Linked DNA regions of Cricetulus griseus. The protein of the gene in region 1 interacts with the protein of each later gene in a pairwise test. Links are inferred from orthologs where the notes say so. Each region holds a gene or a part of one and is shown in the gene's direction. Other genes may lie near its edges. The genes, in order: melanoma inhibitory activity protein 2 and Ttc23l.

Region 1 (6,764 bases):
CTGGGCAACTCCAAACTGTGCATCTCCATGTGTGATGTCAAAACACTCTTCAGATCTCCAACTCTGTTCAGCTTTGTTGACTGCGATGCACTTCTCTCTCTTGGGCTGGTTGCACTCCCCGTCAGCAGCTCTCTTTGGCAGATATCCCATGACTCTAGAATCTCTAAAGTGTTATTTCTGTGTATCCCATGCATGCCTGATGCCTGAGAAGGCCGGAACAGGGCATCAGAGCCCCTGGAAGTGGAGTTACAGATGGTTGTGAGCTGCTGTGTGGTTGTTGAGATAAGTACAGGTCCTATGAAGGAGCAGCCAGTACTCCTAAGCACTGAACCATCTCTCCAGCCGTTTCTTGTTGTCTCATATTTCAGGTGTGTCATCTAATATATGTGGTGAAGGTTAGTTTTGGTACCATACTAACTTTACTCTGTCCCATAGCTAACTTCTCATTGTTTTTAATCCATTTATATGTAGTCAAGGATATTAGGCAGGCAAATGTCAATGGACTACCAGCAAAATAATTTGGGTTCTTGTTCTTAGTTATCTTATTTAATCATTTCATGAGTAGTAGATTGACTTTGTCAGAATCCATTCAAGTATCACTCACTACCCACTGAAGCTGGGAAATATGTGTATCTATTATACCTATTAAAGTAAATAACATGGAGAATAAATAAAATTCCAAAATTTTACTTTCACTATGTATTTGTTGAGTTATCTATAAGGGTACTTTCATGAAAGTATGTATTATGTGCTGAGGGAAAAGAGAGCACACAGAAAAGACAGGAAGTGGATGCTACATCCTGAGTCGTTCACTTTGGCTACTGCAGCAAGAAGGCCTGGGAACCAGCTGGAAAGGTGACCAGCACACTGCAAAAGAATGTCTGTTCTGTTGAAATTTCTACAGGTCTCAGGCTGCTTTGGGGATCCTAATGTGGAATGTTAGTGTATTTGTGTCAAGTTGTTCCCTGTCCAAGCAAGGGGAGTGGAAAATGTCAGTGTATTTGGATCTGCAAACGGTCAGGGAATAAAGTAAGAATTCATGAATTTTTACTGGTTTAATTTCTTTGTCTAGATGGGCCAGGGTCCTCAAAATTGGAATCCAGGAAGAATGATACCAAAGGTGACCCTGGGGTAAGTATTGGAAAGTAAATTCTACCCATGTACCCACCCCTGTGTGTCTTGGCTCAGGGAGTATTCCTCTATGTGGAATGGGCTCCCAAAGTTCACACCTATGCTAGGGATAAGAACTGATCTACTACAGGAGGTCCTGTAGATTTCCAAGGTTTCCTCAATGAAACCCATATTCCTGGGGTCTGGATCAGTCCCATGCTGGTATCCCTGCTATTAGTCTGGGGAGCAAGAGTTCCCCGATGTTCAGGTCATTTGTTTCACCAGCCTGGTCTGGACCCCTTTGCTCTTCACTCTTCCTTCTCTGCATCTGGGTTCCAGTTCAGTTCAGTGATAAGTTGTGGTGCTTCTACTTCCACCAGCTACTGGATGAGGGCTATCGGGTGGCATATCAGTCTCATTATCAGGGGAGGGCATTTAAGGTAGCCTCTCCCCTGTTGCTTAGATTGTTAGCTGGTGTCATCTTATAGATCTCTAGACATTTCCCTAGTGCCTGCTATCTCTGTAAACCTCTATTATGTCTTCCTCTATTATGGTATCTCCATTCTTGTTATCTTCTAATCTTCACCTGACTCAACCTTTTCTGCTCCCTCATGTCCTCTGCATCCCTCCTCTTCTTCCCTTCTCATTCTCCTAGCTCCCTCCTCTTCCCTTGCTCTCAGTTTACTCAGGTGATCTTGACCCTTTCCCCTTCTCCAGGGGACCTTGTATGTCTTTCTTAGGGTCCTCCTTGTTTACTAGCTTCTCTGGCAGTGTGGAGTGTAGGCTGGTAATCCTTTACTCTATGTCTAAAATCCACATATGAGTGAGTATATACCATGTTTGTCTTTTTGTGATTGGGTTACCTCACTCAGAATGGTTTCTTCTAGTTCCATCCATTTTCCTGCAAATTTCAAGATTCCGTTGTTTATTTTTTCCTGCTGAATAGTACTCCATTGTGTAAATGTACCACATTTTCTCTATCCATTCTTCAGTTGAGGGGCATCTAGGCTGCTTCCAGTTTCTAGCTATTACAAATAGTGCTGCTATGAACATCATTGAACAGATGTCCTTGTTGTATGAATCTGTACTAGTGTTTTAGGGAGAGCCAGGTAGACTATTAGTAGTACCAAGCTTAAAGTTTATTGCTGAGTTAGTAAAAATACTTCAGAGAGCATGTAAGGGGCTCCTACACAGGTGTGGAAACTGAGCCTGTTCCCAGGCCTTGTGTAATGTCATGGACTGTTTCTTCTATGCCTCACAATCCCAGGAAAGGAGCTGGGCATCAAGCAGCTTTACTGACTGCTGGTTGTCACTCTCTTACAGAACTCAACTGTGCCCAACTCTCCTCCTGCTGAATGTGAGACAGCTGGCCCTGGCTTCATCCCTCCACCAGTTCCCCTGTTTAGAGGCCCCAGAGGCCCTCCCTTTGCAGGGGATCCAAGAAGACCCATTATGAGAGGGCCTCCCCCATTCCCACCACCTCCTCCAGGAAACATCTATGCAGGTCCTCCAGACTATTTTCCACCAAGGGACTTTGCTGGCCCGCCCTTCCCGCCATTCCCAGGTAGGCTTTTTTAAAAAGTCCATGTATGTGTCAACATTTATCTGTGCTTTTCTTGTTACTGTGATAAACACTGGTCAGAACCAACTTGAGGAGGAAAGAGTTTATATGGCTCACAGGTTACAGTCCAGCAACAAAGGAGGCCAAGGCTTCACCTTGATCTACCTTAGGTAGTTTTGAATTTTAACTGTATTGTGATAGGTCGGAAAATCAGTAAGATTACAAACGGGTCTCTTTCTTGTTTTTTGTTTTTGTTTTGTTTTGTTTTTTTTTCCTCAAGGCAGGGTTTGTCTATAGCTTTGGAGCCTGTCCTGGAACTATTACTCTGTAGACCAGGCTAACCTTGAACTCACAGGGATCCACCTGTCTACTTTCCAAGTGCTGGGATTGAAAGTGTGTGCCACCAATGCACAGCTACAAGAAGTTTTAAGATTAAAATTATGTGTATTTCATTTGATAGAAATGTATTTCGGCCATTATTTAAAGTAATTGCGTATATTTTTGTCTTAAGATTACTGACTAAAGTGTTTTAAGGTATTTTTCATAAATAGTAGTTCCCACATGATCATATTTAAAATCTAAGATCAAATTTAGTTATTTGTTGAATTTATTGAAATTCCTTCATACCCTTACATTTTAGAATAAAAGTAATTTATTGCCTTTATAGCATACTTTACCCTTTAGAATCACAAGTTTCTACACAGTAAATCATGATTCAAGTACTAGAAAGAACCAGCTTGTCCTAGGTGTCTGCTCTCTGCCCTCACCTCTACTCTTAATCTTCTAGAGGAATGAAATGAGTTTTGTTTGGGACGTTTTAAGGTCATCCTTGACATTACAGGAAATGTTTTCAGTAGGATATCAGGTCAGGATCACTGATCTGAATGTGAAGTTGAAAATTTTACTTCGTTAAAAAGCTGTTTTACAGTAAGTCTTGAGTGTATTGGGATCTAGGGTATCTGCCAAGATAGGACAAACACAGCTGAATCTGATGGTGATGTTCTTACTAATCCTATGTAGTTAAGAAGTACAGTTTTCAATGTCAAGATTTATTTGTGAGATTAAATATTGTGTTGTGAGTGTTTGGACATCAGAATAGCGGCTGGAGCTAGTGGTTTAACAAGTGTGCAGTATGGGGTTTCACTGTCCTTTATCCATCTCTTCGAACAGGGAGAAATGTGTACGAACCGAGGGGCTTTCCACCTTACCTTCCCCCAAGAGCTGGGTTCTTCCCCCCACCCCCACATCCTGAAAGTAGAAATGAGCTGCCCCCAGACTTGATTCCTCCTTCCAAACAACCTGCACCTGAACCTCCAGAAACACAGGAGACCTGACAGTTTCCTCGGAGTCATTTCTTCTCCTTTTCTTTTTAAGTAACTGCTGTTACTTATGTGATTACATTGTTGCTCAAATTGAAGCTTAATGGAATTATAATTCTCAGGATAGTATTTTGTAAATAAAGATTTAAATATGAATTTTATGAGTAAATTATTTCCATTTTATTTCATTCTGGATAGTATATTTTACTTTGATTACCTCATCCATAATTATGGTAGTTTTATACATGTAATCTTAGAGTTGGGGATATCTTAAACCTAAAAGGCTGTGTGTTTCTACCAGGAATATGTTCACCATGGTGTAGACAAATGTAAAGGTAACTGTTTAATCAAATAAATTTTAATTCAATTAAAGTCTTGTTTGGCATTGATAATAATAAAACCAGCCAGTTTCACATAAGCATGGCTCCATAATTTAGTCTTTTTACCTGTACCAATAATTCAGTGGTTCAAAAGGGAAGTGTCTGGGGTTGGAGAGATGGTGGCTCAGTGGTTAAGTCAGGGTGCTCATGCAGAACAGAGGACTGGGCTTGGTTCCCAGCATCCACATGGCAGTTCCAGCTTTGGAGAATCCAATGGCCTCTTCAGCTTCCAAGTGTACTAGGAATGCATGTAGTACACACGCATGCATGTAGTGCAAAGATATACATACATGTAGTGCACAGACATGCATTCAGAACACCAGGGATGCATGTAGTGTGCAAGGTATGCATGTGGTGCAGCAGGAATGGATTAATGCACAGGCGTGTGTAGTGCACAGGCATGCATGTAGACAAAACATCTGCATATGTACATTATAGAAAAAGGTAATGCATTGTGGGTTTTCTGATTTAATTATCTTGCAAAATATGTATCCTACTTCTTAAGAGTTAGATATGAATGACTCAAAGTAATAAAATTTAAAAATTTAAATATGGATTAAATTTTAAAGAAAGTGGGGATGTTGTCTAATGATGAATTTCAGAATTGTTTAAACTTATTTCACTGGCTAGTTTTCTTTTAACAGTTCAAAAACAATGTGTGTGTGTGAGAGAGAGAGGGAGAGAGAGGAAGAGAGAGAGAGAGAGAGAGAGAGAGAGAGAGAGAGAGAGAGAGCGCACACACAACAGCAGGCACACACAAGCCCACTCTCGTGCAGGATGTATGGTGATCAGAGGACAGCTGGAAGATTATCTTTCTACATTGGGTTCTGGAGACAGCTCAAGTTCTCAGGATCACACAGTGAGCACTTTCCTCTGTATCCTGCCAGTCCTACTGAGTGGTTTTCTTACATAATTTCTCTTTCTCTCACTTTATTTTTTGATTTTGTTTGTTTCTTTCTTAGACACTCGGTTTCTGTGTGTAGCCCTGGTTGTCCTGGAACTTGCTGTGTTGACCAAGTTGGCCTTGAATTTGGAAGTATTCCTGTTTCTGCCCATGGAGTGCTGGGATTAAGAGCACTACCAAGCCTGACATTTTATAGTTAACTTGTAAGATGTTGATTGTGTTCTGTGGGCTGTGTTGAGAGTTGCCACAGTGTAACCATCACAAGGCCCCTCTTTTTAAGGAAGGGAGTTCAAGTGTCTTCAGACTAGTGTTCCTGTTCTTGGTCTTGCACACTGATAGGAATGGAGAGTGAGACCCAACCAATGAATTTCCTATAAGTGTGTTTAGCCTGTTAAGTTGGGTTTTTTCTTCAGTGTTAAGGGACTGAAGCACAGTGGTGTGATTGTAACTGGAATGTTTCCTGAGCATCATTGGGAACAATGGTCAGGAGGTATTTCTGCTCTACACAGAAAGAAAAGCTTTTCATTGAATTCACTGTTTTCCCTGTTCTTATTCTAGATTTTTACAACATGAAATTCTACTCCTTCCATTTTATTACTTGGTTCAGCAAATTTGTCAGTTTATGTATTGTTCCTATGAAGAAAGAAGTTACGATCTATAGTCAAGTTTTATATTGAAACATTTGTATTCTTGACATCATTAAATCTCTGTTTAAACCCACTTTTCTTCTTTGTCTCCCTGGTCAGGATCTTACTTTCTGTTAGCAATTTATACTTCCAGTATGCTATGAATTTTATTGTGCATACAAACATGCATAATTGTTCCATATCTGACCTAAGATTTGCAATTGAAGAAATCAAATGTATAATTTAAGTGCTAATTCAGGCCCGTAATAATCACATACAAAATTTAGGTTTCCTTGTCTGTGAATCCTAGTGACCCAGTTTCTGGCTCAGTCATAGTTTGTTCTTAGCATCAAGACAAGAGCCTGAAACAGTAACACATTTAGTTACCTTTATACTTAGGCTACTTGAAGTGATAATGGGACAGGTTAAAGCTCAAGAAATTAAATTGGGCATTACTGTTGACCAGTAAGAGTGTGTAATTATAGGTTATATGTGTAATCTTCTCTGCCTAATTTTTAAAAATAAAGAAAAGCAATGTATAATCCTTGCAGAAAGGTAGACATTGGTTGAAACAATGGAAAGCATCTGTTAGGAGGTAATGTTTACATCGCTCCAGGTGATGGTCCCTTCTGGCTTTCCAATATCTTTTTGAATATAGATTCATGTATTTAGGTCATATCATATATTTACATAGACCCATAAACATTAATTTTTTTTTCATTTTACATATAAACCCTAGTTCTCCCTCTCTCCCCTCCCCCACAGTGACACTTCCTCCAACAAGGCAATATCTCCTAGTAGTGCCACTCCCTTTGGGAACCATTTTCTTTAAAACCATCACAGTTGGTCACTCCCACAAGTTAT
Region 2 (7,303 bases), on another chromosome or scaffold:
CTCTAAAGTGACATAGCTTGTACGTATTGGATATGTGATCTAAACTCATCTCTTTGCCCTTCATTATTGTAACTGCCTTTCATTGACTTTGGAATTGATTTCTTTTTCTGACTTGCCTGTTACTTTTGTCATCAAGCATGACAGAGAAGTAACAGAGAAGGAGAGAACACTCAAGAAGGCAAATCGGAGACTATCGGAGCTATGGACAGACATGCACTGTTAAGGAAAGCTCTGTTCTGTGTAGAAACAGAGTCCATGGGATTTGTTTAAGCCAGAACAAGACTTAAAACTGTTTTGAGATGAGTTAAGAATCCCCCGAGAATGGAGAATTTAGAAAGGGGAGTGGGCCAATCAGATTATCAGGAAAAAGAAATAATGAAAGTTTACTGTTCCCCAGATTTTTCAAATATCTTCACATCCTTGAAAGAAATCTCTTTCCAAAAGCTATAAGCACTTGGCACAGTAGGGCAGATGACTGAATGCTAAGTAAATGAAACACATGCGTCACATCTGCCTGCTCTAAACAGCCATGAATCTAGAAGTCAAATGGGACATGGTGGGGACATGTTGGAATGTTCAGAGCAAAGTCAGACTATTGACTCAAATCCATAGGGCCATAGTTAGAGTCTGGTGAATGTCTCCTGCTGTCACAGAGGGCACTACTTAAAGGTTATCTGCCTTATGTGAAACAAAAACCACGTTGTCTTTTCTCAATTCTAGTGTTTATTTTACTCATTCACACCAGTATCTGTTTTGTGTGTGTACTAAGTGTTAGAATGCTTACTCTGTATAATACATACCACACAGTGTTTGAGTGCTTTGAAGTTTTATTTCTTTCAGGCCTTGCTGTAACCTATGAGGGTAGGCATTCTTAATATTTTTATTTGACAGATAAGAAAATAAGGCACTGGGCAGTTGTGGTGCATACCTTTAATCCCAGCACTTGAGAGGCAGAGGCAGGTGGATCTCTGTGAGTTGGAGGCCAGCCTGGTCTACAAAGCAAGTTCTAGGATAGCTAGGACTAGTTACACAGACAAACTATCTTAAAAAAAAATGGCCCAGGAAGATTAACTGAAGGTGACAGAATTAGTTGAAGAACTTGGCTTATCATTGAAACATCTGAATTCATAGCTTATCTTCTGTACCATGCTGTTATAGTTGATATATATCAAATATCTAGTAAAGACAAATATCTAGTAATGCCTTTTTTCCATTGAAGGGCAGAGACACTAAGACAAGATTGTTCAGGTTAAACAACTTGCTAAAATCTCCCTTAAAGCTCTTGATGGGAGCCATCCTTAATGTCTGAAGAATAAGAGAAATACATTTGGTCAAGAGAACATTTGTGTGGTTGATAGAAGAGATTATCGCTTCAAAGAACGATTAGATAACCTGTCAGTGCCCTTGATCATTCACACTCATCTTGAGGACAAGATAAGTCTGTTAGAATAGCCAGCTGACAGGCCTTTTGCTCTCTTCAGGTGCGAGTCACAAATAGGCAGCCCTGAGTTCTTTTTTATTGAGTCAAACTCAATGCTGTTGCCCAGGCTGTCCTTAAATTTATAGGAATCATCCTGCTTCTGTCTCATGAGTGCTGGACATAAAGTTGTGGGCCATCATATTTAGCCAAGAGTTTTGGGGGCTCACAACACCTAACACCTAGAGCTTTATGATTTTAGAAGCCAGAAATTTGTAGCTCCTGGTGCTCAGGCAGAGGCATTTTTCTCTGGGCGTTGAGTCCTGTCACCCTACAGTAAATGGTATGTCATCTCCGGAGTCAGGACCCTCACCTTTTAATCATTGATAGCTCTTTAGATCTTCACTTGAGAGTCTTGCAATACCAGCTTTCAGAGCCTCTTGCCTCCTACAGTCTTAGCTCTCCAGTTCCAAACCCTAGCTGTGCTCTCTGGAACTCTTCAGACACTTTTTTTTTTTTTTTTTGCTGATAGGAGGTCAACAAATGACAGTTCTGGAGAATGCTCTGTAGGACAATGCACAGGATATTGTCCTACTGAGAAGCCCCCATACTGACCTGAAATAGCATGAAAATGTGTCTGCTTGTGAGCCAGAAGAGGTGCATGGCATGCTTATGTACAGCTTCTAATTCCATAGTGGCAGCCTCCCATGTACAGGACTGCTAGTTCTACCAGCTATGAGTTCCAATCATATCGACCAATCACCTGAGTTACTTACTCATGTAAGCATGTCAATCACAAGCTTTTTGCTGAGTCCTTAGGGCTGGTGCTTATCCCACCTTTACTGATATTACAAGACCCACATCTGTGCTTCTGAGTAAATCATCCCCCGTCTTATGACTTTCTGGGTGACATTTTTCCGTTTGTATTTTTATGAAAATTACAGAAGAGTAAAACATATTAACGTGTTAAGCTAATGGTGGTAGTCTGTGGGATCTTGTGGGCAAAATTCAGAATAATGGGGGTTTGTTTAAAGCAATCTTGGATTTTGAGCCAGCTGTCCAGATGATTTGTCTATGAAGACAAATTCTTCTTGGAATTAATTCCTTATGTGTCTGCAAAGGAAGTGGCCTCTGTGTGACTTTCCACCTTCTTTCTTTGTCTTGTAGAGCTTCCTTAGCCATGCACAGGATGAACCTAGCTCTGGCATACTTTGAAAAGGCAATTGGTAGTGTCATCATGGCCAAGGGTTATGGCACATCAGAGCTGATTAGCCTATATGAAGAAATCGCTCAGATTGAGCAGCTGAGGAGGAACCATGAGCAAGCCATCCAGTATTTGCAGCAGGTTGGTTCTTTGGCAAGGTGATCTTGTTTGGCTCCAGGCCCAGTTGATTCTCATAACCAGGAGTTAAGGATTGGTTCCTTACTTTAACCCTAACATCCTAAGGGGCAGAATTGGTTCCATGTTAACTTTTTCTTTGTCCTTTTTTAAATTTAAATTAGAAACAAGCTTCTTTTACATGCCAATCCCAGTTCCCTCTCCCTCATGCCTCCTCCCCTGCCCCACGCTAACCCCCTATCCCATCCCCTTTCTGCTCCCCAGGGAGGGTGAGGCCTTCCATGGGGGAATCTTCAAAGTCATTTGGAGCAGGGCCTAGACCCTCTCCTGTGTGTCTAGGCTGAGAGAGTATCCCTCTAGGTTTCATGTTATTAACTAGGGTTTTATTGGTGTAAACAGACACCATGACCATGGCAACTGTTATAAGGAAAACAATTGAGGGTACTGGTTTAAGTTTCAGAGGTTCAGTCTATTATCATCATGGGGGGTGTCGGGGGGGGGGGGCATGGCAGCATGCAGGCAGGTGGGGTGCTGGAGGAATAGCTGAGAGTCCTACATCTTGAAGAAAACAGGAAGTTGACTGACTCACAGGGCACTATTCCTCAAAGCCCACCCCCAAAGTGATACACTTCTTCCAACAAGGCATACCCACTCCAACAAAGCCACACCTCCTAATAGTGCCACTCCTTATAAGATTATTGGGGCCAATTGCATTCAAAGTACCACACATGTTAACCTTGACTTACTCCAACCCCAAACAAGAGCCTCAAACTTAAAAACATAACCAGAGGCCCGTAACTCTAGTGAACATATATGTTCTGTGACCTGACCAGGAAGTAGCACATCCCCTCCTAGGCCTCTCATCTCTGTCAATGCTGGGAAGAAACCAAGCTTGAGTCGACCCCAAGACATAAAACACATTAGGGCAGCTGAACTTGACTTAAAGAACACAAAAAGGGAAGACTGGTGAGACAGTTCAAAGGTGTTTGCTAGGCAAACACCTGGTAACCAAAGTTTGATCCCAGGAACCCAAGTGAAAGTGGAAGGAACAGTAGATTCCACATAGTAGCTCTCTCGCCTAGACATGTTGTCTGTACACAAGCAAGTAATAATAGTAATAATACTATTTGTCTGCATATACAAACAAGTAACAGTAGTTATAAAAAATGATTTTTAATTCTTGGCCTATAAAGAGTGGCACTATTAGGAGGTGTGGTCTTGTTGGAGTAGGTGTAGCTTTGTTGGAGGAAATGTGTTACTGTAGAGTCAGGCTTTGAGATCCTATATATACTCAAGCCATACACAGTGTGATAGTTCATTTCCTGTCTCCTATGGATCAGATGTAGAATTCTCAGTTCCTTCCCCAACACCGTGTCTTCCTGCATGCCACCAGGCTTCCTGCCATGACAGCAATGAACTAAACTGTAAGTCAGCACCAATGAAATGTTTTCCTTTATAAAAGCTGTCATTGGATTTTGGGAGCCCATTCAACATAGAGGGATACTCCCTGAGCCTAGACACACAGGAGTGGGCCTAGGCCCTATCCCAAAGTATATGACAGACTCTGAAGACCCCCTATGGAAAGTCTCACCTTTCCTGGAGAGCAGAAAGGGTATGGGGTAGGTAGGTGTTAGTTGTGGGGGCAGGGGAGGAGGTGAGGGAGAGGGAACTGAGATTGCCATGTAAAACAATCTTGTTTCTAATCAAATTAAAAAATGGAGGAAAAAAAGAAACTGAAAATAAAATAAAATAAAATAAAAGCTGCCATGGTTATGGTGTTTCTTCACAGCAATAGAAACCCTAAGGCAGGTTTCTTATTTGAAAAGCCATGACATTTTGTTATATCAGATGTCCTGTCAGTTCACTGCAGCTGGTTTTATTTCCAAATCTATGGTTAAACAAATAAAAGTGTATCTCACTTAGAGGTAACTAATTGACAAATACTTGTGGCAAGCTAAAACAAAGGAACAAATATTGAGCCTCTGATATAAAAACCATTTTAGGCACTTCCCTTTAAAATGTACTTAAACTGTTAGTTAAATTCACCTTTCTTCTGAATAAAATGTTGCAGTGCTGTCAGAAATCTGCTTTCACAACAGATTATACTGACATACGGGATTTCATACATGGGGAAAGTAGTAGCACAGCTACTTATGTCAAAAGCCATAGAGCTAAGAACAGGTGTGGGAAACAATTTGACAACCCAAGTTTATAAACACCAGGCAATGGAGAGAAGCATTAGGGGATCTGCTTTTGTGCCAGAGTCACTGCCTGCAGAGGAAGGCATGAGTTTTGAATTCAAGGCTCTCTTAAAACTGTGGACAAGCCAGGCAGTGGTGGCACACACCGTTTATCCTAGCTTTCTGGAGGCAGAGGCAGGTAGATCTCTGAGTTTGAGGACAGTCCGGTCTACAAAGTGAGTTTCAGGGCAGCCAGGGCTATACAGAGAATCCCTGCCTTGAAAACCCCAAAACCAACCAAATAAACAAAAATTGATCAAATTAGAATGAAGAAAGTAGTAATGTTTATATCAATGTTTATAACAAAACCAAAAAATCAGAGTTAACATTTATTATTGTGTGCACTTGAGTATGTATTTCATTTCACAGAGATTTATGGCTGATTCAGCTGAAGTTGCTTGGCTGATAGGTTGCAAAGCAGAGATTTGAACTCAGGAAATCTAACCCAGTAGCTTATAGTTAATGGAACAGTGTGCACACTTTGCACTGTCTTGGCTTCATAGTGGGTGGGTGATGATAATCCCTTTAGCTTCTTGAGATAGTTAAGGGTTGGCTGGTGAACTGTCATGCATGGGTGCTTCTTTCCTTGCTGGTAGCTACAAGTCAGCTGTTTTCACTCTTCTTTCTTCTTAAGTGACATACTTCCCATTAAAATACAAATAATATTAATAATACAACTAATTATTATCTTACACTTCTTTAATGGTTACTGAATGCCAGGTGATACTATAAAACACTTCACACATGTTGACCTATTTAACATTTACAGCAACTATTTGTAACAAATTCTATTTTTATCATCTTTTTATCCTATATTTGAAGAAGATAAGGGACCATTCTCTATCATGGTAAGTGGCTAAGCAGTACTGGATCTCTTGGACCCATGTTTTATGATTCTTTGATAGTGAATTCTTGAGATTCTGGGCTAATGTTGTAGTTACAGTCTGCTGTGAGACCCAGTGGAAGTAATGAAGCTAAGATTTAGTTAGAACTGACCAGATGATGGATAGTGCCCAGTGTTTGCATATGGCGACTCCTTTAATCTTTTCTGAGCCCTAATCCGTAAGACCCATACATTCCATCCTGCATAAGAAGGTGAAATTATTTGTTCAAGACCCACAAAAGGAAGTGGCTGCGATGGAACTCAGGCTCCACTCCCATGTAATTCTGTGTTTAGCTGAGTTGGCTCCCAGTCAGCTAGCAATTCTGACAGCTGCTGAAAAATGCAGCAAAAGATGGTCACTGGGTACTGATGTTGTCGTGGGTTTCTAGACTGTCACTGTCACTAGGTACTGATGTTGTCATGAGTTTCTAGACTGTCACTGAGTACTGATATTGTCATGTTTTTCTTTTTTTTTTCCCCCAGGCCTATTCTATTTGTGTTTCTTCATTTTCTGAAATCAGCCCCCAAACTGCTGAGGCGAGTGCTCTACTAGCTAAAGCTTATGCCATGTCCGGAGAATCCCAGCACAGGGGTAGGTACAGGAGGTGGCCTTGCATTTATCATCACTGCCCAGTGATATGAGAAGCAAAGTGATGAATCATCCTTATATAAGTAAGAGATTATAGGTAGCTACTCATGTAACGGAGAGATAAAGCTGGTCATGATTTTGTAAAAAATCAATTCCATAATTACACAGGAGGTTACACCTGATAACATCCTCCCAAACTAATTGAGCACCAAAACCAACTATCTATTTTCTATTTCCTGTACTCCCTTAGAATGTCTGCCACACTTACCTTTCTGAGGTGTAGAGATCACACACATGGTAAGCATTGCTTACCATGAGGACTCAGTAGAAGGGAAGTATCAACTCCTCCTATCTCCCTGCACTCAGCCTTACCTCCTTCCCTCTGTCTTACAAGAGACCATGATGCAGCAGTTAGAATTTCCATGAGCTGTATTCAAAGATAATGCACTAGGATTTCTAGAGGGAAGCTAAGTGTTTAGTGGATTCTCCAGCAAGACACCTCTGTCCAGCAAGGTTGGTGTGAAACTAGGTGGCAGACAGATGGATGAGCTGGTGAGGGAGGAGGCCAATGGACACTGGAGTCTATCAATTAAAGGGACTTTTCTCTGTCTTGGCTCCATAGACGTTGGGGTGGCATCTACCCTGTCAGAGGAATTTGGGATTTGTGCAGAATGTAAAATGTAAAATGTCTTTCCTTTCTGCTTGTAAAATTAATCCATGATGATGCATACTATTTTCCAGCTTGAGAAAGGGGGAGAGGGAGACAGACAGAACTGTAGAGGAAGTCTGCATGTTGTTTTTCTCCTCTTGTTTTCCTATGTTACTAAGTAATTTT

What was found.
Region 2: the proteins of melanoma inhibitory activity protein 2 (region 1) and Ttc23l interact in binary tests that used the Homo sapiens proteins (3 or more experiments, as listed by UniProt). The two-hybrid records come from large-scale screens. The link is inferred for Cricetulus griseus from reciprocal best matches to the Homo sapiens genes MIA2 and TTC23L.

Annotation. Positions count from the first base shown.
Region 1 is NC_048598.1:143,368,438-143,375,201, reverse strand, and holds the end of melanoma inhibitory activity protein 2, read left to right. Parts: intron 1-1,072; coding exon 1,073-1,131; intron 1,132-2,433; coding exon 2,434-2,674; intron 2,675-3,841; coding exon 3,842-4,005; 3' UTR 4,006-4,408; downstream 4,409-6,764. UniProt on the Homo sapiens protein: Plays a role in the transport of cargos that are too large to fit into COPII-coated vesicles and require specific mechanisms to be incorporated into membrane-bound carriers and exported from the endoplasmic reticulum.
Region 2 is NC_048595.1:343,791,609-343,798,911, reverse strand, and holds part of Ttc23l (tetratricopeptide repeat protein 23-like), read left to right. Parts: intron 1-2,584; coding exon 2,585-2,762; intron 2,763-6,362; coding exon 6,363-6,471; intron 6,472-7,303.